Diceros bicornis minor: one gene and its partners. The protein of the gene in region 1 purifies or fractionates together with the protein of each later gene. This does not show direct contact. Links are inferred from orthologs where the notes say so. Each region holds a gene or a part of one and is shown in the gene's direction. Other genes may lie near its edges. The genes, in order: ASF1A, CABIN1, UBN1 and UBN2.

Region 1 (6,979 bases):
TTTAAAAGTTCTTTACAGATGGTAAAGAAAAGATCATACCATATATATATACACGTTCCATACACACACACACACACACACACACACACACACACACACACAGTCTTTATTGTGATACCATATTTTGCCTCCCGCAGAACTTGAATCATAATTGGTTAAAGTTGCATCTAACACTTTCTATTCTGTATCATACTGACTTGATTACAGAGTTATCTTTCCTACTAGGCCATAAGGTTGTTGAGGATAATATCTATGTTCCACAGAGTGTGGAATGTTCCACAGAGCCTAGCACAATAATTTCACATAATAAATGCTCTCTCTCTATATATATAATGAATTATTATTAAAATTCTTACTGTAGGATTTATTCCTTTTAGAAATGTCTGTAAACTCCAGCAAATCCCTACATTCTACATTTATACAGAAAATTTCATTTAAAACTATCATTAAATTTTAACATCCTATAACTAATAACAGGGAGCCCTTTAAACTAACTAAGGATCATATTACAACAAGCCTTAAATGAGAATTTTTTTTAAGGATGAGGACAATAATGCAAATGTCTCTTGAAAGAGAATTCAACACAGTGATACCTAATTATCCCAGGTGGAATCTAGGATTTGAACAAAGGCAAGAGGTTAACACTTCCATTCCTATGATAACTTCTGCAGCAGGGAGGGACTGAGACTTGATTTAATTCTTAGTTCTAATACATTTTAACTCAGTATACTTTAATTTAATCCCATTTAATTCTAGTACATTTTGATTCACTCTTTGATCTTGTTTTGTGTGTGACTTCAAATTAACTTCAAGGTTAAGATTCTCAGAAGCCCGCTGCAGAGAAGCTGTGGATCCCAGAAGCAGGCTGCATCTTGTCTCTTCAGAATTTAAGCCGCATGCCCAACAGGGGGTACCTCCTCTGAACAACAGCTACAGCACACCACTGCACAGCCTACCCGCATGGCTCAACCACGCTTCATTTCACAGCACAGAAAGCACTCCATAACTGATCCATAATTAGACTAAATAAACCTAGATTATCAAATAAGCTTAATTCTGAGGGAAAACAATCATAGCTGTATTAGGTTGTTTGTGCCGCCATAACAAAATACCAGATTGGCTGGCTTAAGCAACAGAAACATCTTTTCTCACAGCTCTGTAGGCTAGAAGTACAAGATCAAAGTGTCAGCAGGGTTGGCTTCTGTTGAGGCTTCGCTCCTTGGCTTGCAAATGGCCGCCATCTTGCTGCGTCCTCACATGGTCTTTCCTCTGTGCATACAGCGTCCTTGGTGTCTCGTATGTCCAAATTTCCTCCTCGTATAAGGATACCAGTTAGATTATATTAGGGCCTACCCCAAGGGACTCATTTTAATTTAACCACCTCTTTTAACAGCCCTATCACCAAATACAGTCACATTCTGAGATACTGGGGTTTAGTGTTCCAACATAGGAATTTGGGGGGGGGGGGGCGCTACAATTCAGCACATTAACAACAGCTAACTACGTTCATGTATCTTTGTCCTAGGCACTAATTCCAGCTTTGTTCATCTTAGAGCCAAACGACCTCTTTCAGCCATCCTTCTCCCAAGTAATCTGAACAGAGAGAAGAGATTTGGGGATTACTTTCCATGTAGCCCTCTAAGCATCATGGGGTCCCCCTTGGGTACTCAATACATGAAGTCTTTCATGGTGACCCATCTGTTGCAATATGGTTAGCTGTTTGAGAGTCACCAAAAAGTTGTTCAACAACAGATCCTATAGATTGCCTCGAAAACCAGAATGATGCTTTTATAATTTTTTCCCCCTACAGCATGCCAGTTAATTTAGAAATATGCCAGGGCACATCTGGGAATCCCTTTGGTCTTTCCTGTAAAGTATTGTCACTGGTGAGGAAATTATTGGAGAGAGTGCTCAAAGGCTCTCCAATATTTTTGAGGAGTAGTAATAAAAGAGTTAAGACAATATGGCAATATGAGAGAACTGGAGCCAATTCTTGTGGTTTCCAGCAAAATATCAGGGAGGTTTTTTTTTTCCCCCTTAAATACTGTTGTATATGACATGTTAAACAAAAGATTTCAAATAAAATAACCCAAACTGGTGGTATCCAGGTAGATCATCTCAGTTCTTGATACAGCATATTCACCAAAAGTGAGTTTTACAGTAAGACGAACCTTATTACGACACACCTATGGTCAGATTGCAAAATGTACTTCATTTTACCAAGCTCATAATGTCATTTTCACAAAGCAAGTGAATTAGTATCTTCTCTTAAGAGTGCCTGCAATAATCAGAGAACTGCATACATGATTCTCAAGGGAGTCATGTTTTAATCTTCAAATGGTCATTTATCTTACATATTCAGTGTGTCTTACAGCATATGGCAATTTATACTTTATCTTAGCTAGTGTTAGGACCAGTACTAATAGGAATGATCAGAGAATATAGTTTATCAGTCATAGTAATCTGTGTCTATCACCACAATATGACTCTTGTACTCTAATGTACACAAACAACTGGGCTTGAGGAAATCTTTTCTGGTAGGTTCTATTGACTATTTAATCCACTGACAATAAAATGGGACCCCTGCTCTAAGTAGTTTTCCTAAATGAGGGGAGGCCTGGTATTAGCTGTCCCATAGTAACTTGCAAAAGACCATCAGATGAAGAGCTGCATCAAAAGCAACCTACTTAAGTATGAACAACGCCCAAAAAATGTCAACTCAAAATTCTGGGCACTATACTCAGAGAAAACTCTTCTAGCATAGATGACACTTAAGAAATAACTTTCTCTCTGAATTTAATTAGCCAAGTTTAGTGGTTTCATTCACAACACTGAAGCGAAAAATGACGGTTTATGAACAGCAGGGAATAAAGCAAACCTTTATACCACTCTTACTTATGGTAAACAGAAACAGTTCAACCACCTCACACGTGTGTTAAAAGCTCTCCCTCTCCCCACAACGGTAGTCAAGCAGCATACACGAATCGACACTAAGGGCTGATGAATTAAGCAAAGCCTCCTCCAGACTTGCTTGTGGTGCCCTAAGTTTTTACTTACTAACGATTTAGGTCATGAGTTTTTTGAAAATCACTGTGTTGGTAAGCCTGTGTGTTCTCTACTCTCCTTTTCCTTTCTCATCTGCCGCCCTTTGGTCTCCTGACACTTCCATTTTCTTTTTTTCCGCTCTGCCTACCAAAAGGCAGAAACCTCCGGTGTAACTGATCACATCTCTTCCTCTTATTCTAGGACTTTGCAGATGGGAATGGGAGGAAGAAGAGCCAGGTGGAGCCCAAATATTACCTATTCAGATTTTCCAAGCAAAGCGTGTGTGGAAAAGCGCCTCCTCGCTCTTCATTTTGTATATTTAACTAACGGCGCTGTGGCGCCCAAACGCAGATATTGGCCGAGAACAAGATTTCCAAAATGGCTTTGCTCCTTTCGAGCTGGTATCGGTCTATAAAATGCAATTTATTTCCACTGCAACCAACTCTTCTCTCTACCCCAAATACTACTCAATGCATAGATAGCTGAAGCCAACCTAGTGTGGACAACCGAATCACATCTGCTAAATTCAGTACAGAGCCGGCACAGCCGTTGGACTGATGTAAAAACAGCGTTAAAAGAAACCACACGAAGCAAACCGGAGGGGCGGGTGTCGCCGAAGATCGCGCCCTCCCGCCGCCGTGCCTGCCGCAAGCACGCCTCCCGCCGCGGCCACGCCCCCCGCCGCCTCGGCCGCGGCCCCGCCCCGCCGGGGCCCCGCCCGACGTGACGCGCGGGAGCCGCGGGCCCGGGGGGCGGGGCCTGCGCCGCCCCTCCCCCCCCCCCGCCGCCGCCGCCGCCGCCGCCGCAGCCGGCGGCTTCCGCGCGGGCCTCCCAGCCCGTATTCCACTCACTTTGTTCTCCGCCTTTGTCCTAATCCACACCAGCAGGTGGAGCCGCAGTTAAAGTTTCCGAGTCCATTCCGGGAGCGGGAGCCCATCTTGCTCGCCGCCGCGGCCCTCGCTGGAGGAGGAGGGTCAGAGCTCGGGTGCAGCCAATCGCGGGCAACGCTGCTAGTTATCAGAGCAGAATGGGCTGTAGTTTAGTGAAATAGGAAAGCTGCAAAACACTGTGGAGTGTTCCCGTGTAAATAAAAAGAGGAAAAAAAAGTTTCTCAAGTCGCCGCTGCACGACGTCGGGCCGGCGCCGGGGCGGGGGTCTGCGCTCTCCCGAGCGGCCGCGCGCTGGACTTTATTGTGCCGCAACAAGCCCCGGCCCCATTGTTTGTGTGTTTTCAAAATATGGCAAAGGTTCAGGTGAACAATGTAGTGGTGCTGGATAACCCTTCTCCTTTCTACAACCCGTTCCAGTTCGAGATCACCTTCGAGTGCATCGAGGACCTGTCTGAAGGTGAGTGGGCGCCCGCCCGCCGCCGGGCTGTCAGTTGCGGGCTGCAGACGTTGAAAGTTTCCCGGGCCCGGCCTCGCGCGGGCGGGCGGGCGGCCGCGGCTCGGCGCCCGGCGGGCTCGGCTCGGCGGAGGGAAACTTGAAGTTGATGGGCGCCGGCGCGAGGCGCGCGCGGGTCGGCCGCAGCCGGGAAGCCCGCCGCGGCTCAACTTGCGAGGAACTTGTGCGAGCGGAGGGAGCCATGTTGTCAGCTTTGTCTGGCGGGCGGGCGGGTCGCGGGGCCGGGGGTCGCGCCGGGCTGGCCCCGAGCCGCCAACGGCCTCGGCGGCCCCGGCGAGGAGACCGGGGAGGGACAGGCTCGTGTGTGGTCGCGCCGGCGAGTGAGCAGCGGAGCCATCTTACCGGGAGGAGAGAATTGGGCCACCGACCCCGGCGTCACGACGCCTCCTCTCCGCGGGTGACGAGCGCGGCGCGGCGCCTGCCCACCTTCCTGCCCCCGAGCGCCAGGCAGATCCATTTTTAGAGCTGACGCCGGGCTGCCGTTCTCCTGGGTGGCCGTGCCCGGCCGCGCCGCGGGGAGCCAGGCTGTCCTCGCGCGGATCTCGGGCTCCCTCGACCAACCAGCGGGGGAGGCGGGCGCAGGCTCGGGCCCGCTCCCCGGGGCCGCGGGGGCTCCCGGCCGCTGCCGCCCGGCCGGCGCCCGGGATGCTCGGGGCGCCCGGGATGCTGGCGCGCAGGCTCGCCCCGGGCTGCGTGGACTCCTTTTCCGTAATGACTAAATCTTCTCTCCTCTCTCTCAGGAAGAAAAATATTGCTAAGCTAGAAAGTTACATTTAACCCAAGAGCAGAAATAAGTAAAATACTTAAATGTAATCACTGGCTTCTAAGTAGTCTGAAAGAAGACTTGCTTCAAGAACGTGTTGAAACCTAATTAAAATAACTCCACATCCAAACACCCTGAACATAAAACACAAAAGTGGGCTAGGAAATAAAAGGTAAAGTCCTGATGGCAATACAAAAATTTTTACTATTTTTTCTAAGTTCATTTTAAGGTCTTCAAAAAGAGAAATATTTTTAATATGTGCAGTAACATTTAGAAAGCTAAAACTTGCCAAGGTCTTATCTTTGCTTTTCTTAGATTTTGTTAAAATAGTCCAGTGCTTCATTTTCAAAATTTGAGGGGAAAAACTTTTTAACTTCATCAATGGTAATTTTACAATTAGACAGACATACTTCTTTGGACTTACAAGTATACTTAACAAAATGCATTTAAAATTATTCTAATGGCATGTAAAGCATTTTCACTTTAAAAATTAATTTTTAATCTCTATAAAATGTATTTTGTGTAGGGTGTTAACTTTTTAAATTATAAAAGCAATACATGCTCATTGTAATAAACTTTTAAAAGTTGTACAGACATATAAACAGTCCTCTGTATGCAGTGCCTTCACCCAACTCACTCCTGTGTGTAACCATAATTAACACTTTAATCTGTGCTCTTCCCATACAGTTTTAATACATATATAAAGCCTGTATACACATATATGTGTCACATTTTGAAAGATGATTCATTTATTAAACTAATTTTTAAATAGGCCATTGATAATAAAAATTAAAGATGATTTTTCGTATCACTCTGAAACCATTTGATTACTTTCCTGGAGTACTACTATAAGCATTTCAGCTACCAGGCCCATTTTTCATACCTAACAGGCACTAACTTTTCCTTTTTATTGCCATCTGCATGTAAAAATGAGTGAATGCAACAGAAACCATTGATCAGTCCATTCCAACATATACTATAGTGTTTTAGACATTAGAAGTTCTTCAAATTACAGATATTTCTCAAGTGATGCCTTCCATTTTAGGAGCTAGTTCTGACAAGGATGATAGATGATTCAGGATGTTGTTACAGGGCTTAAACATTGGATGGCTGAAACCCGCCATTCATGGAAGCACAACTATGCTCCATTCTTAACTGGGATCTATTCAGAACTCAGCTGAATCACATCAGAGTTTTTACAATACTAATGTCAAGAATATACCTACTTCTGCTTGTACACCTCACTTTCCTGGGCATCTATACTTGGCATTTATTTAATATTTTTTCAAAGAGTTTAAGCTGAGTCATACCGAAGCTGCAAAGGAATCTTTCAAAAAGGAGCTGTGCTTGTGTACTCCACCTAGAGGCTGTGTGGATTAAGAAAATTGAGTTTACTTAGCAAAGGCTTCTTACAGGTTCCATACTTTCGTATTGCAGTTCTTAAGGAAAAAAAAAAATCTATTCTTGAGATGAAACTACAGAACATTCTGAAGAGAAATTTTCACTTGATAATTTTGTCTCAAGTCCCAAGCGAGAAGTTGGCGACCATTTTTCATACTTGTCAACAGCCCCCAAATATTTTACTTTCCTTTAAAAAGTGGCACAGTAGCTTTGCTTCAGAAAAAGCCTTGAGTATTTGCTCTTAAGATAATTTAGTTCTTTCTAATATAATGCTTATATCAGTGGACTGCTGTCCCATCCACTGAGTTAAGCAGAGGCTATCCTGTCATCTGGGAGATATGAGACCTTGGATGTGTTTGATCTGAT
Region 2 (7,786 bases), on another chromosome or scaffold:
GGGGGTGGGGTTACACGGAGTGGGCGGGGCGGCAGGACTTCCGGAAATCAGCTCCCGCGTACGCCGAGGTTGTCGGCCGGGCCGGGGTAGGCAGCCAATCGGGGGGCGCTGCCTGCCTGCCCATCCAATGAGGAGCCCGGTTCCCGTGGCGCCCCGCCCCTGCCCCCTAGTCTCTGACCCTTGGAACATGGACCCGGACTCCGCGCGTTCTTTCTCCGCGGTGGTGGTTTGCGCGCCTTCCTGCTAGACATGCCGTTCCTTGAGCTGGACACGAACTTGCCCGCCGGCCGCGTGCCCGCAGGACTAGAGAAGCGGCTTTGCGCGGCCGCCGCCGCCATCCTGGGCAAACCCGAGGACGTGAGCGTGGGCCTGGGAGCACCGGGTTGGGGGAAGTCGGTGGACCAGGGGTCGGGCTCTGTCCACGCCCCGGCTGTCCCACCGTGACCGACAGGGACCCCTGACCTCCCGCTCTCCACACTCCCCACGTCTGCTCCGTGTCGCCTTCCCCAGCCATGACCCCAACGTGACCTCCAGGGACCCCGGCCGGTGCCCCCAGTCCTGATCCCACGGGCCCGTGCGTCTCGGACCGACCCCGCGCCGTTCTGTCCTCAGAGCGAGCCTGGCCTACAGCGGCTTCTTTCGTGTCCCCCGCAGCGCGTGAACGCGACGGTGCGGCCGGGCCTGGCCATGGCGGTGAACGGCTCGACCGAGCCCTGCGCGCAGCTGCTCGTCTCTTCCATCGGTGTGGTGGGCACGGCCGAGGAGAACCGCGGCCACAGCGCCCGCCTCTTCGAGTTCCTCACCAAGGAACTGGGCCTGGACCAGGACCGGTGCGTAGGAGCAGGGAGAGGACCCTCTTGGACTGCTGCGCCACCGGGGGATAGTGATCCTACCTCAATGCCCCTCCTAAAGTTGGGGGAAAAAATAAATTCCTGGCACTACAGAAGACTTGACCCTTGACCTCTCTGGCCCCCTGGTGGAGGGTCAGCCTTCAGAGTGGTATCAGAATTGAATGAATTCCTGGCTCTGCAGCTGTCCCTATGACACCTGGGCAAGGCGTGACCTCTTAAACCTCTGTGTTTCCATCTGTGAAGGGGGAAGCCTTTCCTTTAACCACTCCCTGGGGACACTGCATGGGATGGCAATGTATTATATTTGCTTCCGCACCTGGCAGGTTAGGATGTTGTTATCTGACAAAGCCATAGCCATATCAGCTGCCTACATCTTAGAAAATCAAGAGTAATTTTCTTGGAGAATTTCTCTGGCCTGGTGAGGTGGAATTCTGGGTATGTCCTGAGGCTGTGGCCTTTGGGCCTGTGGCCCAACCAGGTCCTAGGTAAGGCTCCCAGGAGGGTCACGGAGTAGTGGTAAGAGCATTGGTCCAGATGTCTGGAGGCCTGGGTTCTGGGTCTAGCAGAGCTGGGGACCCAGACAAACCTGGAAGTGAACCCTCTCTGGTTTGTAGCCTTCTCTTCTGTGAATAGAGAGGCATGGATTCAGTGATTCCCCAGGAAGCCCCTACAGCTCCCAAACCTGGGATCCTGTGGCAAGGTTAAAGTTTCTTCCTGGGCGAAAAATATTCCTGAGCCCAGTCCATGCCTGTGAGGATCTAAGGGCATGAGAAGGTTGAAAGAACCTTTGAGAATGGAGCCTTTGTTGGCCCAGAAAGGCTGGTGAGGAATGGTCACTCCTGGGAGGTGCTCGGACCTGGTCCTCAAGGTGAGGAGAGACGATAATTCTAACAACAATAAGTAATGTGCGAATACTTATCACGCGCCAGGTGCCCTATAGGTGCCTTACGGGCATCATCCCATTTGATCCTTACAAACTCTGTTCCCCTCTGCACACCCGCTCATGCAGACATGCCACCCCCATGAGGTAGATACCTCCATTATGCCTAGTTACAGATGAGAAAACTTGAGGTGGTCACACATACTCCCCCCAAGGGTGTCCTGGGAGCCTGCAGTTTGGAAGAGGGAGGGCTGCCCTCTGAGCCCATAGACAGGGCATACAGTGACCACAGAGGCTGCTGTGTTGAGTAGCCTTCCTGGGTGGGACACAATGAGGTGCAGCCACCACCCCGCCCCTGACAGGCCCACTGCCCTGTTGGGGGTTGGGAGGAGAGGCAGGCTTGCAAATGCCCGGGGGGCTAAGGCCGGCTGGCTGGGGAGCCCATGGTGGGAATGCCTGGCTAGGGGTCTTGGAATAATTAGCCAAGGAGCTGATGACATCTTTTTCTTTGTCTCCTGAAGGATAATTATGCGCTTTCTCCCCCTGGAGCCCTGGCAGATTGGCAAGAAGGGGACAGTCGTCACTTTTTTATGATTGGCATGGAGAGCATCCAGGGCATCTGTGAGCTGGCGGCCCCTTCCACAGAAGCCTTCTGGCAGAGTGAGGGCTTGGTGGATACCAGCTTCTGGCACCCCCACGTGCAGACATGCCTGTGACCTCACAATCCTCTTCTTCCCCATCCTCATTCTAATAAATGAAGAGAGCTTCGTCTTTCAGACACGACTTCTTTACTTCCTTTTACCCCTCCCTGGCATTCTGGGCCATCCTGGGCAGAGGGGCTGGCTAATGAGGTGGGGACTTGAGGGAACCTGGGAGGTGGGATGTTGCCTGTCTTCAGGGCCGCTCTTTCATGTATTGTATTTAGGCTGCTCAAATCCGAGGGTGGAGGGCTCAGCCTGGAGGCCCTGCTCTCCATGCCCATGTGCAGGCTGGTAGGGAAGGCTGCCAGCCTGCTCTAGCCTGGGCCTTCCTGCAGACTCTGCTGACCAGATGTTTCCATTCTCAGCCTGGGCTGGTCTGGGCAGTTCCCTCCCCTTGAAGGGGACTGCTGTGCCCAGCAGGAGAGCAGGGCAGCCTGGGATTCAGAGACCTTTCCTGGGCGTTGCCAAACTCCGTCTTCTCCCATGAGTCTTGCTGAGAATTCTCTGTAGCTGTGCACCTTGTAAAATCCATGTCCCAGAATGGCAAACCTGGAAAGGCAATGTCTGCCACTAGAAAGTGAATGAATGGGATCTCCGCCCCCCCATCAAAATACCATGTCATGCTTTTGCATTTCAGAGAATATACAGGTGGGGTGGGGGGAGCCCAGAGGAAGTGTCCTTTTCAGTTTCCTTCCAGATGTTCAATGAAGAGTTTACATGTCTTAAGACTCTGTGGTGGGTGCTGTGTTTCCCTGCACAGTTAAAGGTTTGATCATCCTTGTCTGTAGTGCACCAGTGAAACACCAGATGGAGATGTTCAGTCTACGCAGTCCACCTAGTTAACAAAGTTAGTTTCCAGTGGAATGTGCCTCTGCCTGCTGTGTTTGTACCTGACCACTGCTGAAGACTCACGAAAAGCTAGAGCTTGGAATTCCTTCCCCTGGCTCCCTGTCCCAACTGTTTCTGCAGTCATTCCTTCCGCCAACATGGGTGTCCTGCTTCCCAGAGGGGCTCAGGGAATATTTGTGGGTTGTATGTAAAAGAGCGATTGAAGTGCCCAAGGAGGGATTCAGCCCTAGCCCCTGCCAGGACCATAAGGCAACAGCCTCCAATCTGGTCTCCCCACCTTAAATCTCTCACCCCACTGTAGTGAGAGGGATGTCATCTGCTTGCTGTGGGGACTGGCCCTCCCCCCTCTCCAGCATTATCTCCCCGTTGTGGCCCTGAGCTTTGTCCCCTGGCAATACCGTGCTGCCCAAGGCTTCTGCCTGTGGCCTGCACTCTTTCTCACCGCCAAACCCTTGCCACACAGCTCCCTGCTGTTTGGACCACCCTTCTCATGTTTTTTCGACTGTCTCAGACTGTCTCCAGAGCCCCTTTCAAGATACAACTGGGGGTGGAGGCTGCACCCTAGGTTGCATGTTATCCATGAAACTTTGAAACCATCTGTTTATGCTTCTGTTCATTGCCCCTGTCCCCCAAGGCTGTACGCCTCTCAAAATCAAAGTTAGTGACTCAATTATTTTTGTACCTCCTGGCATATCAGTAAAGCTTTCTTGTACTGAACTGACTCTATGAGTTCTTCACCAGGATTTTACTGTCTTGAAAGTCAAAAAGAAAGTCATGTCATTCATTGCTATTTAAATCATCCTTGCTGGACTCCAGCAGCTATGAGGTTCAACCACAGGGTGAAGGCCTCCCCCAAAACGCTTAGCTCCCAAGAGCGTGACGTCTCTCAGCCCGAAGCTGAAGCCGCGCTCGGCAACCCTTCCGTGCGGGACCCTCTTCTCGGCTCTGGAATGCTGTCACTCCCTCGTTTCCCGGGTCTCTGAGTTTTGGGTTTTTCCCCCCTTTGTTTCACTAGTTGATTGCATCTGTGCCTTTGGGCTTCAAATCCTTTTCGGAAAGAGGTGAGGCACAGGTAATATGAAGAAGACGACTCTTCCTCCCCGGGTTCCCTCTAAACGTTCCCCACGTTTCCACTGCCTTCAGAGCACCTGTCCCGCTTGTAACAACGATAACACAGCCCGTCATTTGGCGACTGCTCGGGGCCAGGCACCGAGCCCGACTCTTCACACGTATTACCAGCGGTGGAGCCGGGAGTCCGACCGCTCCGCGAGCCGGCGCTCCGAGCCCACAGCAGCGCGCGCACACAGCGGAGACTCACGGAGGTTCGAGATGCGCTTCAGGCCGCTCGGCTCGGCGCCCGACGCCACCCGCAGGGGCCCAGCAGCCCGCCGGCCGGGCGGTGGAGCAGCGCGTGCGCCTCGCTGATTGGCTGGCGGAGCCGGCACCGCAGCCAATGGGAGCGCGCCTTGTTGTCAGGCGCGCAGCCGGCCGGCGCGGGGGACGGGGCGGTCGGGCCGTTGCCGTGGAGATGCCTGGTGAGTGCCGGGGAGCGTGGGGCGGGTGTACGCGCGGGTTGGGGGCGGCCCCCGGGAGGTGGGGCGCGACTCTGCGGAGCCGGGGCGGGGTGGGGGCGCGAGCCTGAGGGGCGGCCGGCGCTGGGGGATCCCCCGGCAGCCTCGGTGCGGCCGTCGGAGAAACCGAGGCCGGAGCGCGGGAGCGACGAGGCCGGGCCTCCAGGCCGCCCCGGGGGCCGCCTCACGGCGAGCCGCCGCCCCGGGGGCCAGGACGGGCCCGGCCTCGGGAGTGGTCTCAGGGACCACAGCACGAGCCGCCATTGATCCCGCGTCTGCCCGGGCCGAGACCGGCGCTGACCCTTGACTCGCGTCCTTGCCCTTCACCTTCGCAGCAGCCCTGCGAGGTGAGTGTTGTGATGATCGCCCTTTACCGGGAGGGCACCGAGGCCGGGAGGTCCGGGGACTCGTCCAAAGTCACCCAGCTAACCGGGGGGCAGCCCGATTCCCCACGGCGGTCTTGACTGCGCTGCCTCCCGGGCCGGGGCGGGCCTGGCCAGGCGGAGCTTGCCGGCGCTCGCAGGTGTCTGCTCCAGCGGCTGGGGGCGCCACTTCAGTCTTGGGGCCTGGGTACGACAGGCCGTGGCCGTGGGACGGTCGGCTCCCGGGCGGCCAGGGTGCCTTCCGTGTGGTTCATAACCGTGGTTAGAACTGAAATATCCTCAGAGGGGGCTGCTTCAAGGGCCCGCAAACTTTTGTTGTAAATATAATAATAGAATAGTATTTTTTTTAAAGATTTTATTTATTTATTTTTTCCCTCCAAAGCCCGAGTAGATTGTTGTGTGTCATAGCTGCACATCCTTCTAGTTGCTGTATGTGGGAGGAGGCCTCAGCATGGCCGGAGAAGCGGTGCGTCGTGTGCGCGCGGGGATGCGAACCCGGGGCCGCCAGCAGCGGAGCACGCGCACTTAACCGCTAAGCCACGGGACTGGCCCAGGAATAGTATTGTAATATGTTGTGAATATAATAAGTATAATCATACTTATAAGAGTAAGTATTTTAGGCTTTGTGGGCCAGACTCTGTGTACTCCACTCTGGTGTCAACTGTGGATACAGCCAAAGACAATACATAGGAGAGTGGCCATTTTCCAATAAAATTTTATTTATGGACACTGGAATTAGAATTTTATATAATTTTCATGTGTCACGAAGTTTCTCAACCACTTAAAAATGTAAAAAGCATTCTGTGCTCCTGGGCTGTACAAAAACTGTGGGCTAATTAGCTTGTGGACGGACGCCTGGTCTAGTTTAGAGCTTCCTACTCTGAGACTCGGAGAGGGGCATCTTAGAGCAAGTCAGCGGCACAGCCTGGTAGTGCCACCCTGAGCTGCAGACCTAGGCTTCCCGGCTCCGGGCCAGAGCACACAGGAGACGTCACGGCTCATCACTGGACCCGGGTATGAGATGCTCAGAGTGTGCTCTTCTTTATCGTGTGTTCTTAAGGCCGTGAAAACCATGCTCTGAGGAATTTGGAAACTTGTAAGATTGAACTCCTGAATGCGCTATTCTGAGAAAGTGCAACTGCTGGGCTGCGAGTCCGAGAAATGAGTAGATACTTTCTTATGTATATGCAGTAGCTGCTTTTTTTTAAGCTCCTTTTAGTGGGTTTGTGGTTAACAATACAGATGTGGTCCCCATCCTCACATTGCTACAGATGATAAATACATAATCTCAGATGGTTGTTTCTTTTTAAACTTTTTATTTTAAACTAATTTTAGATTTAGATATTGCAGCAATAATACTGTGAGTTCCCATAGGTCACTCAACCTACTTCCCCTCAGGTTAACATCTTATATAATCATAGTATAATTATCAAGAACAGGAAAGTAACATTGGTACAATATTATTATCACACCTACAGACCTAGTTCGAATTTCACCTGTTTTTCCACCAGTGTTCTATTTTCATTCCGGGATCCTATCCAAGATCCCATATTGCGTTAAGTCATTTCTCCTTAGTGCTTAACAGTTACGTGGTCTTTTCTTGTCTTGGCCTTCTACTTGTAAAGAGTAGTGATCAGTTATTTTGTCTAATATCCCTCAGTTTGGGTATGTTTGGTGTTTTCTCATGATTGGAGTGACGTTGTGTGTTTTTGGCCAGAACAACACAAACATGGTGTTCTTCTCAGTGCATCATATCGAGGAGTTGAAGATGATGTTGTGTCTTATTACTGGCGATATTTACCTTGATCACTTGATTCAGTTGGTGTTGCCAGGTTTCTACACTGTGAAGTCACTCTCTTTCCCTTTCTAGTCGGTAAGTGTCTTGGGGAGATACTTTGAGAGGATGCAAATTCCGGTTCTCACAGATTTACACTCACTGACCTTAGCATCCACCTGTGGATCTTTGTGTTGTTTGCCTAAAGGTAATTTCCTATTTCTCTCTCTCCTTTTACATTTATTAATTGAAATTCAATTGAAGGAAGAGCTATCCCTTCTCTCCTTTATTTATTTGATTATTATTTGTGTCAGGATGGACGCCATGGATATTCATTGTATTCTATGGGTCAGAATCTAATATTATCATCATTTTGTTGCTCACTGTTCCGGCTTTGGCTATTTAGGATCTCCTTGAGGTTAGCTGTGACAAACCCTCATCAATTTTTTGAGCACTTGCTTACTTTCTGGCACCGCAAGATGTTCTAGGCTCATTTTGTATTTTCTCTGCCCCAACCCTGGAATCACAGTTCTTTTTGTCTTTAGCCTTATAGTATCCAGTCAGGCTGCTGTTTTCCACGGTTGCTTAGGTTAGTTCTTTTCTTCCTTATGCCCTTCAGTGTGGTTATGTTATTTGTAATACAGTAGGTTCATTGTTAGTATATTCCATTTGGGGTTCCCCCTAGATCTTAGGTGATTTCAATTGTTTACTTTTTGAGTGTGAAACATGACTGTGGTTCTAAGAGTCAGAGCCATACACAAAGGTGTTCTCAGAGCA
Region 3 (7,287 bases), on another chromosome or scaffold:
TAGTTGTTCACAGTATCCCCACTGCCTGGAATGCCCTTCTTGTTCCTGCCTATCCAAATTCTATTTATCCTCCAGAGCTGGCTTCACATCCCATCTCTTCCATCAGCTTTCTCTGACCTAGCTGTTCTCCACTGATCTCTCCTTGTTCTAGAACCCTTTAGCAATTACCTGCATCACTCCTTCTGTCCTTACTCTCATCTGAAATGTTTATGTCTTGTCACCTGAGCTCCTGGAAGGTGGAGACCACACATTTGCTTTCCTGGAAGTTCACTTTGGTGTCAGCAACGCGGAGTGTGGCTGCACAATCAGCACCGCTTTATGCATCAGGACAATTTTTTGTGAAATCCATAGCATTGGGCCGGCCCCATGGCTTAGCGGTTAAGTGCGCACTCCGCTTCTGGCAGCCCGGGTTCGGATCCCGGGCACGCACTGATGCACCACTTGTCCGGCCATGCTGAGGCCGCGTCCCACATACAGCAACTAGAAGGATGCGCAACTATGACATACAACTATCTACTGGGGCTTTGGGGAGAAAAAGGGGAAAAAAAAAAGGAGGAAGATTAGCAATAGATGTTACCTCAGGGCTGGTCTTCCTCAGCAAAAAAAGAAGAGGATTGGCATGGATGTTAGCTCAGGGCTGATCTTCCTCACAGGGACAAAAAAAAAAAAAAGAAAAGAAATCCATGGCATTACCAGAACATTCTCTCTTCCAGAGTGTCTCTGGTTCTCACAGCACTGGGCCAGTGACTACCTTGAAATATCAACATCAAAAGGCTGCTAAATCAGTTTGTGACAGAGAACTGGGCCTAGGTAATTAGTATATCTATATGGTTAACGTAAACATGCCATGCAAACTCTAAACTGGGATAAGCACTCAGACGTATAAACTTCTGAGTCAGTGAAGGGCAGTATTTATAACAGATTTTGCTATGGAATATTATATATCGCTTTCTGGGAATGCGTATTTTAACCATTGGTATTAGATTTATCAGAAAAGCCACAGATGTTTTTCAGACCCAAAGCTACATTTTCCTGTAAGAGTCAAAAATAGAAATACAACTACTTAAAGAAATCAAACCATCTAGCTAGACCCAAGTAATCAAATTGATGTAGTGATGAGACAGCTAAACAAATCACCAGAAACTTAAGTAAATACACATTCTCTCCCTGACTGTAAGTTATATGGCCTATCAAAGAATCTCAAATTGATGGTCCTGATTTCAACTCTAAGACAGATCTGGTTAAAAAGCTTTACTGTTACAATGTTAGAGCAAGTCATCTAATTTCACAAAAGAGAACAGAATCAAACAACTACTTTTATTTTTATTTTTTATTTTTTTAAAGATTTTATTTATTCATTTTTTTCCCCCCAAAGCCCCAGTAGATAGTTGTATGTCATAGGTTCACATCCTTCTAGTTGCTGTACGTGGGACTTGGCCTCGGGTTGGTCGGAGAAGTGGTGCCTTGGGGCGTGCCCGGGATCCGAACCCGGGCCGCCAGCATCAGAGTGCGCGCACTTAACCGCTAAGCCACGGAGCCGGCCCCACTACTTTTATTAAGGTAAATAAAATTTTAGTTTTCGCTGTATACGTTATGCATGAGCCACATGATAAACAGCCATTAAAAAGAGAAACAAACATGGCCCTTATAATAGGAACTGCCTATGAAGTTGGGTAAAGAGATGTAAGAAACTATCTCAACATGATTACCATATGTAGAAGATGGTGAACCCTCATTCTCACTTGACATTGTTATTGGCCCCAAGACAATTTCTGCGAGATAAGAACAGCACTTTATATTTAGGTAAGAAGCCAGAATGATATGCCATTCTTATACACTACAGTAAGAAGGAACTAGGGTCCCTAGAATATTCTCAAAGCAGCCCAGACCCACGGCAACGCTCAAACAAAGGGACAGTGCAACTCTTGGGGAGCACTACTCACTGATCTTCTGTTCCAAAAAACTTCACAAAAAAGCATTTCTTTCCACGCGGTTTCTTCAAGTCCTTGGGTGGATTAACAATCTGGGGGATAAAAGGGAAAAAAAGTTTTTTTCCACAGCTCCAAATTAACAAGAAAAAAACCTAAATAAAACAAAAGGAATATGACTGAAAAAGAACCCAGAGCCTAGCACACGTCCAAATGTGGCACTTTATCATGATGTGAGGAAACATGCAAATATTCCAGAAGTTCCTACATCTAACATGTAGCACAGCATTCAATAGATACAATATCCCCTTTACTGCAATGGCCGCATTTTAAAAGCATTTACAACTAAGACCAACATTATTTGCCCCCAGTGTGACCTTGTCATCACTGAAGAAATACACAGGACACTCTTAAAAATACTTGTGTGCAGGAAGAGTTGTGACAGGTAATAGTGACAAAGAAGGACAACCGAGGCACTGAAAATGCCATATTGCAAAGAGACAGTCTAAAGACATTTCCCGGGCTCCAAACAAGAATATAACAACAGAACATTTGGAAAGCTATGACGGATCGCCTCATGCAAAATTTGGAATGCCAACTTTTGCAAAGATGCACTGGAGAGAGCAGCACATATGGTAACATGGAAAGATTTAAACTTAGTTGGGACAAAAATACTTTGACTTTTCACTAACCTACATTTAGATTTCTCTCTTCCTGGAGAATTTATTTTCCTCTCTTTTTGTTAGATTTAACTGTAAAGCTATATTCAAGTTAGAATTGATTTCCAGAGTTAAAAGACTTCACCACAACTCTCTCTGATTCAAGAAATAAGCATTTACTGTAGATTAAATGACCTGGTTTATATTATATTGCTTTTTCTAAACAAACTGATAATAGAGAAAAAAAAATTCTGAGTGTCATTTAAGTAGGCCCAGTTTGACCCAATGCTAGAAATTGAGGCGGGTGCATCTTACATTCTCTACCTTCTCAAACGCAACTTCAGATGTCTTCCTGTAGTAGCTTCTAGTAGTAGAACACACTCACCTTTCCTGGCCAAGGAGGATACCGGCCGAGTTTCCCCCTAGAGAAAACACAGAGAATCAGCATTTGCCTTGGAAAAGCCAGTCCATCTCCTTCAACCCACTCAACATGCAAGTTATTTTCTAAATCTCCACTCGCACCCTCAAGTGCCAGAACAAGTTTGCAAACAGGAGTTCTTAATCTGGCTTCCACAGCTGGGCCCAAGAGGCCCAAATCCCTCAGAGCTGGGATGCAAAATTGTAAACGTATGTGCATAAGGTATGTGCATTCTCCTGGTGACAACAAATACACAATAATGAAACCACAAGAATCACTTGTCTAGAGCCTCCCCGGGACGGGGGCGGGGAGCAGTGTGCTCTGTAAACACAGACTTCCCCTCGCCAAGTCTGGTTTAATTCACCGCGGGACGGCCCGGCTCTGACAAATGCTAATGGGAGCCTTCCTCTGGGTCGGGAAACGAGCTACGCAGCTCCAGGGAGACGGCGAGCGTCAGTCTCAGTTCGGGCGGTTGTCTGGGACACACGAGCGGACCACGAAGGCACCCAGAAAGGCACTAGTCCCCGCCAAGCCTCCGAGTGTAAAGGAGAAGTCCCCCCTCCATTTCTTCACGGGGCAGCGCCAACAGTCCGGTTTCGACACCCCGGGCCGAGCCGCCGCACAGGTCGGTTCCATCGCAACGCGGGTTTTGACGGGCTCGCCCGGCGAGATGGCCCCGCCAGCTCCCCGACTCTGCCGCTTTCCGAGACGCCTGGGCAAGACCTCGAGGACCCGGCGTCCGCAGGAGCCGCGCGGCACCGGGCACTCCCTCCACCGTGGCCGCCGGCGTCCGGGTCCGGGGCTCAGAGACCGGCCCGCCGCGGCCACCCTCGGCCTCAGTCCCCCGGGGCCGGGCTGCCCCTTCCGCCCGGCGTCGCTCCCAGCGCCGGCACCTCGTCTCGCCCTCTCTCGCGGCCTGGAGCGCATAGAAGGGCAGCTCCGAAGCTGGCGGCGACCCCCGTGCCCAGGGGTGCAGCTTCGCGGCGCACCTCGCTCGGCCCCGGCCGCCCGGACTCACCACACCAAATCGCCGAGCCGCAGACTCACAGCCGCCATCTTACCACCCAACCACGGCCGACGCACGGGCCGCCGGGAACATCAGGGCGCCCCGGCGCCGCCCATTGGAGTGCGCCCGGCCACGTGACGGGGGCCGGCTGTCAGCGGCCACGCCGCGGCTCTGACGTCACCGCGCCCGCCGGGGCTCATTGGCCGGCTGAGCGGCACGTGACCCGGGAGCCGCGGTCTCCGCGCGCCGGAGCCCCGAGACTCCCGGCTCCTCTCCCCCTCCCTCCGGCTCGTGACAACGAAGCGCCGGCGGTCTGATTCGGCGGTGGAGGCGGCGGTAGTGACTGTGCGGCCGGCCGAGAGCGCGAGGGAGCCGGCCCTGCGGTCCGCCCCGCCCCGCCCCCGGGTCCCGGCCTCCAGCCCCCTCCTCCTCGGCGCTTCCGTTACGGCCGTTAGTCTCGCGCGGGCCCCGGGGCCGGCCGCCTCGGCGCGCCGGCAGCTGCCCTGACAGACCTCGGCGCGGCCTGGAAGCCAGCCTCCGCCCGCGCCCGGGGCCCCGCGCCCGGCGAGCTCTACGTGGCCGCGCCCGGAGGGCCGACGGGTCCTTCGGAGGCTGCTTTCTGACGGCCGGGGTCCGGGGAGCGGCTCCGAGCCCGCGTCCGCGCCGCAAGTTGTCCCGGGGCGCCGGTGCATCCCGCCCCGAGGTCGCGAGCTGCTCGGCCGACGTGGAGCCGGCGTCTCTCCGCTTCCTCCTGGGCGGGCGCGGCGGCACGGCCCGCGAGGCTCCCCCGGGCGCGCGGGGACCCGGCCATGGGCCGCGGCGCGGGCCGGCCGCCCGCGGGGAGGCATGGCTCGGGGGCCGGCCGCTAGCGGCGCCGCAGCCCGGGCTCCCGGGCCGGCATGAGGACGGCCGCCGGGGGACGAGTGCGGCCCGCGGGGCAGTAGCCTGCGTCGCGCCGGGGACAAAGGTGCGTGTCTTTGTGGGGACCGGGCTCTCGCGTCTGCCTTGCTGTAGTTTGACACTTTGAGGGAAGTTGGGCGCAGGCTGTTGTGACAACAGGAAGGCAGGTGCCGGGCGCGGTCTCGATACGTTAAAACTAAGCCACTGAATGGGAACTGTAATCGGCGGTTCAGCACAGCGCCTGCCCAAGTGTCCGCACACCAGGGAGGGAACAAAATTTAGAAGGTCCCAATGCCAGTTGCAGACTCCAGGGAGTCCGAGGGAAGAGTTAACTTAGAACCGGACTGATCTTGGGTCGTATCCTGCTTGAAAAGGTGGCGGGTCCGCCCGCGTCTCCCATAGGCGTTTTGTTCTGCGGAGACTTGGGTTGTAAGGGGCTTTTAGCGAACTAGCTTGTTCGAAGCCTGGTTTTTCTTGGGCGTTCAGTTTCCCTAAAACACCGTCCGTTAGTTTCAGGAACTGTCATTGACTGTTTTGTGTTTTTTAAAGACAAACTGATCATTTAAAGCATGTTTAAGATTCCAAAAAATAATTTAGTGAAATTAAACACACATTCCTAATTTAAAAACTTTTATTTTTTGAGGACTTGGAAGGGTATTTTAATGACTTGGTAAAAATATGTAAATCCTAAATTGACATCGCACTGGGCTACAGGCATTCCCGTTAGTCAGGAACATGGCAAAGAATATATTGTCTAATATTATTCTGGAAGTTCTAGCCAATGTAATAAGACGTGAAACAAAAATAAGAAAAATAATTTTTCAGAAAGGAGAAGACAAAATTCTCATTTCTGTGGATGAGAGGTCAGCCTATTTTGAAAAAAAAGTTAAGGGAAAACCGTTAAAATAAGAGTTCACTTGTAAAGAAACTAATTGTAAAATCAGTATACAAAATTCTCCTTTTCTTTGTTTCACCAATAATCCGTTTGAAAATATAGTAGTTAAGATGTTGTGTAACAAAAAAATATACAATTCCGGGGAATAACCTCTGAGATACAAAAGGAGGCTAGCATTTCTTGGATAACATCAGTTGAGTTTTTTAAGAGGGGTGTTTTTGTGTGTAGAATACTGTGCTTTTACTTCGAATAATGTTCAACTCATTAAAGTTGAGTATTTAAATACTTAGCTTTTCTTAAGCTTTTTAAATTTTACTCAAATCTTGTTTTATTTACAAATCTAAGAATGTTTATATAAATAAAAATACTTGATCTTTGACAAAGCTTCGATTAAGGCGTCAGTTTAACAGATTAAATTTCTCTAAACAGTGAATTCGCTTTACAAAGTTAAATTCCCTTAAGTGTTTTAAACTGCATTTAAAGTTTTATATGCTTTTTCTCTCAAATACTTCAAACTTATAGAACGGTGAACTTATAAAGCTAGTAGTAAAGTCTTTCCAAGGACTTAACTCTTGTAAGGCTAATAAATGTGTGAATGTAAGGTTCTTTTAAACGCACACTTTCAAAGTTATATTTTCTTAAGGATTTCAAATTAAAATTGTAAGTCTAAGTCATTCATTCATATGTTTTTGTTTTTTCTTTTTTTGTGAGATCAGCCCTGAGCTAACATTTGATGCCAATCCTCCTCTTTTTTTGCTGAGGAAGACTGGCCCTGGGCTATCATCCGTGCCCATCTTCCTCCACTTTATATGGGACGCCGCCACAGCATGGCCCACCAAGCAGTGCGTCGGTGCGCGCCCGGGATCTGAGCCGGCGAACCCCGGACTGCTGCAGCAAAGCGTGCGCACTTAACCGCTTGCGCCACCAGGCTGGCCCCCATTCATATGTTTGATTCTCTTAAATATTGCAAATGATTTAGTAACAAGTGACGGCAATTATCATGATGATTATAAAACTTAATCCAAGATCTAAGTGTTAATATGCTGTAGGTTTGATTCTGTAGTCTTATTTCTATAACTTCTCAGGCTGGCAAAGTCACCTCCACAACTAAGAGAAGCAGATTTACCATATAGGTTTGAAGTTAAAATGTCTAAAATTTGGGCCAAGATAAGGTTACATTTTTATTTTATTTTATTTATTTTTTTAAACAGTTATTTTAATTTTATTTATTTATTTTTTTCCCCCCAAAGCCCCAGTAGATAATTGTATGTCATACCTGCACATCCTTCTAGTTGCTGTATGTGGGACTCGGCCTCAGCATGGCCAGAGAAGCGGTGCGTCGGTGCGCGCCCGGGATCCGAACCCCGGGCCGCCAGTAGCGGAGCGCGCACACCTAACCGCTAAGCCACGGGGCCGGCCCTAAGGTTACATTTTTAAATTACTGCCCAGACAGGGGCAGGGACCTGGTTGCCGCTTCCAGG
Region 4 (7,659 bases), on another chromosome or scaffold:
TGTGCCACAAGCTAGAGTTTGAGTAAATCAACATTCTTTGCCTGAATTGAAAATTAAAACAAACAAACAAAAAAGCTCATCAAGGTCACCAATAATCTCCATTTTGCCAAATGCAGGCATAATCTCCCTGTCCTCGTCTTACTAGATTTGGTAGTGTTCAACAGTTAGTTGACACTCCCACTTTCTTGAAATGCTTTTCTTCCAAGATCATATTACTCACCTACTTAAAATTTTCCAATGGCTCTGGTTTCATTTATAACAAAATCCCAGCTCCTTGTGCCATTCTGTGAGCCGGCCCCTCTTCCCTCTTGGATTTGTCTCTTACATCGCTCCCCAACTTGCACACTGTGCTCCCACCACTCTGACCTCTCTTCCACCTCACCAAGCTCGCTCTCTCTGCAGACTTGCACTCGCTTTTCCTTCTCTGTAATACTCTTCCTTTGAATCTTCCCCAGACATTCTGGTCTTAACTCAAATGTGCCTTCCTCAGAGAGGACTGACGTAGAAGGACCGACATAACATTGGACGGTGGGCCTTTCTAACTATTTACGTTGATTCTGTTTATCTCTGCTATTGCCAATTCAGTTTTTCCTATTGTTTAACCCCAGAGGGCAACCATCTTACCTTATTGCTAAATTCATTTTGGGGAAGATGGGAGACAGGGATTTGGGGACAATCCTGCTTTCTGCCTCTAGGATACAACACTATTGGAGAAGGCACTAAGGAGTGAGGTTAATTTGCCCCTTTGCTTATTTTTTTTTTGCTGAGGAAGATTCGCCCTGAGCTAACATCTGTATCAATCTTCCTCTGTTTTGTATGTGGGACACTGCCACAACATGGCCACCAACGAGTGGTGTAGGTCCACACCCGGGAACTGAACCTGGGCTGCCAAAGTGGAGTACACCGAACTTAACCACCAGGCTAGTGGGCCGGCCCTGATTTGCCCCTTTTCTGTAAGTACACTTCTCCAAGGTGCAAGATTACCACACCCTGGAACGTTGATCTTCAACATGAGATTTGAGAGTTCATAAAATTATCAAAATTGCTGTGCTGAAGATCTTTTAGATAGTAATTATTGATGAAAAAGTTATGAGTAGCTTAATCTCACAGGACATTTTATATATAACAGAAACGAAAACAGTGCCTGATCTTATAGCACTCCACTTAGATAACACTAACGTCTTAGATATCTTAGATAATCTAATATCTTAGACAAAGACATTCTCACTTTGCATTGATTTTGACCTCTTCCCAGCCTCCTCAAAGGCCCTCACTACTCAATAAAAGTATTTAGGATTTTCCAAATTCTAAAGGAAATGCATAACGGGTAGACATGCTCTACCCCTAAAAAGTCCCCAGAGCAACAAAATTAATTTTTCCTCACCTATTCACTTTCTAACTGCTAAAGTGGCTGTTCATTTCAAATTGGTGATCATAACCACTTAGAGGATTGTGAAATCAATTTTGAGGGTCACAAGCAGCATTTTATTTATTTTTTATTTTATTTTTTTTGAGGAAGATCAGCCCTGAGCTAACATCTGCCAATCCTCCTCTTTTTGCTGAGGAAGACTGGCCCTGGGCTACCATCCATGCCCATCTTCCTCCACTTTATAGGGGACGCCCCCACAGCACGGATTGACAAGCAGTGTGTTGGTGCGCCCCCGAGATCCGAACTGGCGAACCTCGGGCGGCCGCAGCGGAGCACTTAACCGCTTACGCCACCAGGCCGGCCCACAAGCAGCATTTAAAAAAAATGAAATAGACTACAACAGAATTTAATTTAATAGAAAATATCAGAGGGCACCGCACTAATCCTTATCCCAGGCTAGAGTCGGGGAGGGAGGGGTGATACACACATTGGTATCGCATTGGAATTCCTGGGTTAATTTGTTGGACAGACAACATTGTACTGCCTAAATTTACATTATCACAACTACTTGTGATTTATCAAGTGAAGTACAAGAGAATTTTATTTGCTGATAGAAAACCCAGAATTTTCAACTGAGTTCCAATGAAGAACTTTAAGTATGTTTTTGAGATAGGGTGTGTCATCAAGTATGTTGTGTGTGTGTACTATAATTTATTAATCAAATTGGCATAAATTGTTCTCAAAGAAGTTGCTTTATTATTAGAAGAAAAAGAAATAATAAATTGAAAAATACAGGAGCATGTTCAAGTTTAGCGCTGGATGTGGAAGCATAAATAGTGAAAATACTGAGAAAAACGTTCCTCTCATCAGAAAACATTGACTTTACATCTCATTCTAAGAAGAAAAATACAACGAATTTCCTGCAAATGAAAGCTTAATACCTTCAAAATTAAAAGGACATTTGAAAATACAGCACAATCAACTTGTCCATAAGTCCCTAAAATACTCTTAAGGAAAACACTTCTATGCCAGATATATGTAGCAAAACAATTATATAGAGGAGTTATTGTCTGTATGGAGAAAAATATTTTCAGAATTAGAAAATAGCATTTAGTTCAATAAAAATTAAACTATACAATTTATAATGGAATTGCAAGTGATGGAACAACAAATATGATCAGGAAACATAGTAGAGATACAAAAAATTGTTAAAAACTACTAAACACATAAGATAATTTGAAACATTAAACAAAAACAATTGTATATAAGATTCATTTGGTCTTCAAAACGTTAAATAATTGGATTAAACATGATGTTCTATGAAGAGAATAAATTATTGTGGCTTGGTACTTCATTTACACAGAAAAATGATTGCAATACATGAATTTATCATGTTAGATTAAGATTAAAGAATTTATTGCTAAGAAGAAAGTGGATTCACATTATTGCTATTCACAATACCCGTATATATGAACTAGGATTTTCAATTTTGACCCATTTAAAAATAAAGGAAAAGATCAGGCTCAGTAGTAGACCAGATGTGATGTAGCATTGTCCTCATGCCTTCTGGACTGGAATAAAACCCATGAACAAGTAAGGACTTCCATGGCATTAAATAAAATCTTTACTAATATGCTTCTGTACTATTTATGTTAAGGTTTGTTTCTACATTGTATTCTAAAATGTGTTTATATTAACTTTGTTCTTTATGCTACACAATAAGGAAGTATTGTGAAACTTGTATTTCAGATATGTGTGTTTGTGTGTGTGTGTATACTGGGTTAGAATGTAAAATCTATTTCTTACTGTGGGTCATGGATCAAAAAGTTGGAAAAATACTCAATGCGTTAGAAGTTAGCAGAAGATAATGTTGGATGAGTAACACACCTGCAGAACTATTTGGTCTACAGACCACCAGTCTGCTGTTTGATCTAAACTGTGGAGAATATTTGAATATGAGTTAAGTATAGAATTTAACATCGTAGGTAACGTGCAGGTAGGACAGGAATGATACAAAAAAACACCACTGTTTTAGAAGCATTAATACAGCCCCTTTGCAAGACTAGCAGGAATAGAGACTGAGGATAGAGCGGTCACTTAAGTACTATTAAAACAATACAGAAATGAGATCCTAATGCGGAATCAGAATAGCAGCAATGGGAAAGAAGATAATGGGGGTAAAACACAGTGCCAAGGAAAAATAATAGCAACTTAGAGCTCGGAGGGACCTCTTGAACCATCGATTCCATCACCATCTTTATACAAATAGGGAAAGTAATAGGAGAGCAAAAAACTGAACCTACTCATAATTTGTCTGACGTCACACTGACTCAACCAGAGTCATCAATAGGTGTTAACATTGTTAATCCGGTTAATGGAATCAACAGGAGGCGTGGATTCCTTTCAGGATGTGGAGGGCGAGCCCTCAAAGTTGCTTTCTATTGAATGGATTAAAATGGATAGTAATTCTCACTCTTTTAAAATGAATTCCAATTAGTTGTCTGCAAGGTGTGCCTACAAGGCTTTCTCAATCAATGCTCCTCCTCCACCCCGAAATGGGTCATTTAGCATTCTACTTTCGGAAAGCACATCCCCTGAAACACCACCACTCCCTCCTGAGACGTTTTCTATCACTAATTTCAACAGCTAAGGGTTTATGAACGAGCCCAGAACGGGCCATCTGCTTGTTTAATTTCCCAACTGCAAAACGTTATTGCGCATTTTACGACCAGGCCACACACAAGCCCCACCGCGGCCGGGCGAGACAAACAGGAGTCGGTCTGGGAAAGGGAGGCCTGTGGGAGTCAGTGTTGCGCTCCGCGGAGCCGAGGGCGAGTCCGGCTGGAGTTAGCCATTTCCTTTCTTCCCTCGATACTTCGGGCTGCGGGGGCGCTGGGCAGGCAGGCACAGCGGCCGGTCCGCGCGGCCCTCTACCCTTTCACCGTATCCGCCTTGAATAATCAGTTGACAACCCCAACTCTCTAGGGCCGAAAGCGGAAAGCTCGCGCCAGCCGGGACCCGGCGCCATGACTCGGTCAGTCCCGGCCACATCCCGACCCTCTCCCTTGGACGAGCCCCATTCGCGCCTCCGGTTTCCGGGCGCGAATAGGAAGCTTCTCAGGAAACCCCAGACCCCGCCCTTTTAGGAAGGGCGCAGACAGCGTCTCCGTTTCCAAGGAAACCGGTTCTGCCATGACGTCACTTCCGCTGACCTGCCTGGTCTCCAGACTGTTGGGAGGAAAAGAGGAAAACTGAGCCACAGCCACGACGGTGGACGCGAGCGTCTCTTGTCTGCGCATGCGCCCGCTCAGCGGCCTGCTTCTATTTATGTGGGGGATCCAACATGGCGGCTGCGGCGACCCTGGCGATGGCGGTGGAGCTCATCAGGACATAGTGGCGGGGAAGGGGGCACGGTCCGCACTCACGGTGGCGTCGGCGGAGACGGCTGAGAGTGGTGGAGGGAAGAAAAGCGACGGAGAGCAAAAGGAAGGGCGGGCAGGCAAACAACTCGGCGTAGAACCGAGCGCCGGCTCGAGCGAAGGCAGAGGGCCAGAACAGTGGGGATGGCGGAGCCGCGCAGAGTAGCGTTTATTAGCCTGTCACCGGTGAGGCGGCGCGAGCCCGAGTACCCGGGGGCCGAACGCGAGCCCGAGTACCCTCGCGAGCCCCCCCGGCTGGAGCCGCAGCCTTACCGCGAGCCGGCCCGGGCGGAGCAGCCGGCCCCGCGGGAGGCTGCCCCCCGGTCGGACGCGCAGCCCCCGCCGCGGGAGAAGCCGCTCCCCCCGCGCGAGGTCAGCCGCGCCGAGCCGCCCATGTCGCTGCAGCGCGAGCCCCCGCGGCCGGAGCCGCCGCCGCCGCCACTCCCGCAGCTGCACTTGCAGCCGCCCCCGCCGCGGGAGTCGGCTTCCCGGGCCGAGCCGCAGCAGAGGCCGCCGAGGGAGACGGTGCGCCTGGAGCTGGTGCTCAAGGATCCCACCGACGAGAGCTGCGTGGAGTTCAGTTACCCGGAGCTGCTGCTGTGCGGAGAACAACGGGTACAGAAGATTCTTTCCTCATCCCCTAGACCCTGGGAGCCTCAGAACCCGACGGCCTTCCCCAGTGGTTTGCACTTTCCGATGCCCACCATGTGTGTCTCGGGTCGCCCGGGAGGGTGGGCTGGAAGGGGCAGGGCCGAGTGGGTGGACGGGTAGTTGGTGCTGCTTTCCTCTGTCCCCCAGGGTTGGCCGAGGCTGCCACCCGGCTCCTCCGACCCCCGTCGTGCGCCCGCTGCAAACGCAGCTCCCAGCCGATTTATCCTCTGCACCTTTCAAAACCTCACATTTTCCTCCTTTTCTCTCTGTTCCCCATATGTGGGGGCCCTGCAAGTTGCGTGGTTGAATTTTCCTTGTGGAGCTCCTGTTGTCGTTCCAGTAGAAGGGAGGAGAAAACCTTGGGGGACACGCCCCCCGATCTGAAGCAGTGAGATTGTGTAACCTCTCTAGTATCATCCTCATCTTCGTCAGTGTTTGTTATGCTTGACGCTGTGGCTGCTGAGATGTGCTTGGGAGCGCGGGGGTATCTTTCTTAATCGAAGGGGATTTAAAAGTAATCTGAAATTTTTCAGACTAAGGATTCCACTTTAGGAATGAAGGAGAAGTGGATTAGTTATCTGGTTACCTATTTTGCTCTCTTGTGTTGGTATTGGTAAACCTTTTTAGCTTTGTTTTCTCTGGAGTTTATATTGTAATTGAATGAGAAGGTGTTTCTCCTGGTTTATTTGGCGCCTACAATCATATTCTTATTTGAGTGCATGTCATTAGTTTATAGGTCCAAGTTGGAGGATATTGCACTTGGCCATTGTAATTTTGGAGAGTAATGAAAAAAATCTTAGCTTTGAATTTTTAAAAACTTTATTGAAAATATGTAGGTATGCCTTTGATGGAACTAGTGAACAATGGAGATAGGAGAGAGGTTTGTTGGTAATTGTAATTTTTATTGTTGTGGGTTGATGATCTTCAGAAGTAAACTAAAAAGGGAAATGATAGAGTAACAGTATTAAGAGAACAATTTCTCTATTGTTTAGAGGTTATGTATGCTGTTTATTAGGTTTTGCTTTAGCACAGGTCTAATGGACTCTAGAAGGCTCTTGTTTTGTTTTCATCCTCAACTATCGTTATAGTTGAAATGAATGACTCTTTGTGTGTGTGTGTGTGTGTGTGTGTGTGTGTGTGAGGAAGATCAGCCCTGAGCAAACATCCGTACTAATCCTCCTCTTTTTGCTGAGGAAGACCGGCTCTGAGCTAACATCTATTGCCAATCCTCCTCCTTTTTTTTTTTTTGCCCCAAAGCCCCAGTAGATAGTTGTATGTCATAGTTGCACATCCTTCTAGTTGCTGTATGTGGGTCGTGGCCTCAGCATGGCCGGAGTAGCGGTGCGTCGGTGTGTGCCCAGGATCCGAACCCCGGGCCGCTAGTAGTGGAACGCGAGCACCCAACCGCTAAGCCATGGGCCGGCCCAAATGAATGACTCTTTAGTTTAAAAATATCATATTAAACTGTCACTAGATCTTGTTTATTTTGTGGCCAATAGTATTTTGATCGTTATTTACAAATATGTGGTCAAATCATTACTAAATGTTTGCAACCAAAATGAAGTGTTAAGGATAGAGATCATTTTGGGCACTTCCACATAGCATTTTGCCCTGTAGACTCACTTTAGTGCCCTTATTATTTATAAATGTGATGTCATTTTTTTCCCTAAAATAATTTTGAAAATATTGGATTGGAGCATTTTTCAAAGAAATTGTATTTGATCTTCTAATATAAATTAGGTTTGCAGTTTTACTACCTAATCTGTTTCATAAATTACAGATAAAAACACATCATATTTGGGTTAAAATACTTAATAGCTAATGTTTACTGAGTTCTTGCTATGTGCTGGACACAGTTCTAAGTTTGGTACATGACTTGCTGAGTTAGTGCAGCAGAGTTCCATGAGGTAGGAATCATTATCCCCACTTTACTAATGAGGAGGCACAGAGTGGTTATACGTAATTTTATTAGTATTTCTTTCTATGCTAGTACCAAGTCTTAGCAAAACAAAATTTCTTACAGTTAACTCATATGGTTTGTATTTAGAAGATCCTCGGGCCGGCCCCGTGGCTTGGCGGTTAAGTGCGCGAGCTCCAATGCTGTTGGCCCGGGTTCGGATCCCAGGCGCGCACCAAGGCACCACTTCTCTGGCCATCCTGAGGCCAAGTCCCACATACAGCAACTAGAAGGATGTGCAGCTATGACATACAACTATCTAC

The links.
Region 2: the proteins of ASF1A (region 1) and CABIN1 purify together in Homo sapiens (affinity purification with mass spectrometry; 4 studies listed by BioGRID and IntAct, counting the BioPlex papers as one, with this or other methods). This does not show direct contact. The link is inferred for Diceros bicornis minor from reciprocal best matches to the Homo sapiens genes ASF1A and CABIN1.
Region 3: the proteins of ASF1A (region 1) and UBN1 purify together in Homo sapiens (affinity purification with mass spectrometry; 6 studies listed by BioGRID and IntAct, counting the BioPlex papers as one, with this or other methods). This does not show direct contact. The link is inferred for Diceros bicornis minor from reciprocal best matches to the Homo sapiens genes ASF1A and UBN1.
Region 4: the proteins of ASF1A (region 1) and UBN2 purify together in Homo sapiens (affinity purification with mass spectrometry; 3 studies listed by BioGRID and IntAct, counting the BioPlex papers as one, with this or other methods). This does not show direct contact. The link is inferred for Diceros bicornis minor from reciprocal best matches to the Homo sapiens genes ASF1A and UBN2.

Annotation. Positions count from the first base shown.
Region 1 is NC_080762.1:17,473,870-17,480,848, reverse strand, and holds the start of ASF1A (histone chaperone ASF1A), read left to right. Parts: upstream 1-3,978; 5' UTR 3,979-4,283; coding exon 4,284-4,392; intron 4,393-6,979. UniProt on the Homo sapiens protein: Histone chaperone that facilitates histone deposition and histone exchange and removal during nucleosome assembly and disassembly.
Region 2 is NC_080774.1:28,585,523-28,593,308, forward strand, and holds the start of CABIN1 (calcineurin-binding protein cabin-1), read left to right. Parts: upstream 1-4,775; 5' UTR 4,776-4,816; intron 4,817-4,990; exon of another isoform or gene 4,991-5,199; intron 5,200-7,786. Other genes in the region: DDT (D-dopachrome decarboxylase), read left to right, coding at 250-357, 613-830, 2,253-2,325. UniProt on the Homo sapiens protein: May be required for replication-independent chromatin assembly. May serve as a negative regulator of T-cell receptor (TCR) signaling via inhibition of calcineurin. Inhibition of activated calcineurin is dependent on both PKC and calcium signals.
Region 3 is NC_080765.1:43,773,064-43,780,350, reverse strand, and holds the start of UBN1 (ubinuclein-1), read left to right. Parts: upstream 1-4,274; 5' UTR 4,275-4,978; intron 4,979-7,287. Other genes in the region: GLYR1 (cytokine-like nuclear factor N-PAC), read right to left, coding at 1,944-2,023, 2,973-3,009, 4,024-4,061. UniProt on the Homo sapiens protein: Acts as a novel regulator of senescence. Involved in the formation of senescence-associated heterochromatin foci (SAHF), which represses expression of proliferation-promoting genes. Binds to proliferation-promoting genes.
Region 4 is NC_080742.1:86,985,279-86,992,937, forward strand, and holds the start of UBN2 (ubinuclein-2), read left to right. Parts: upstream 1-4,651; 5' UTR 4,652-4,932; coding exon 4,933-5,403; intron 5,404-7,659.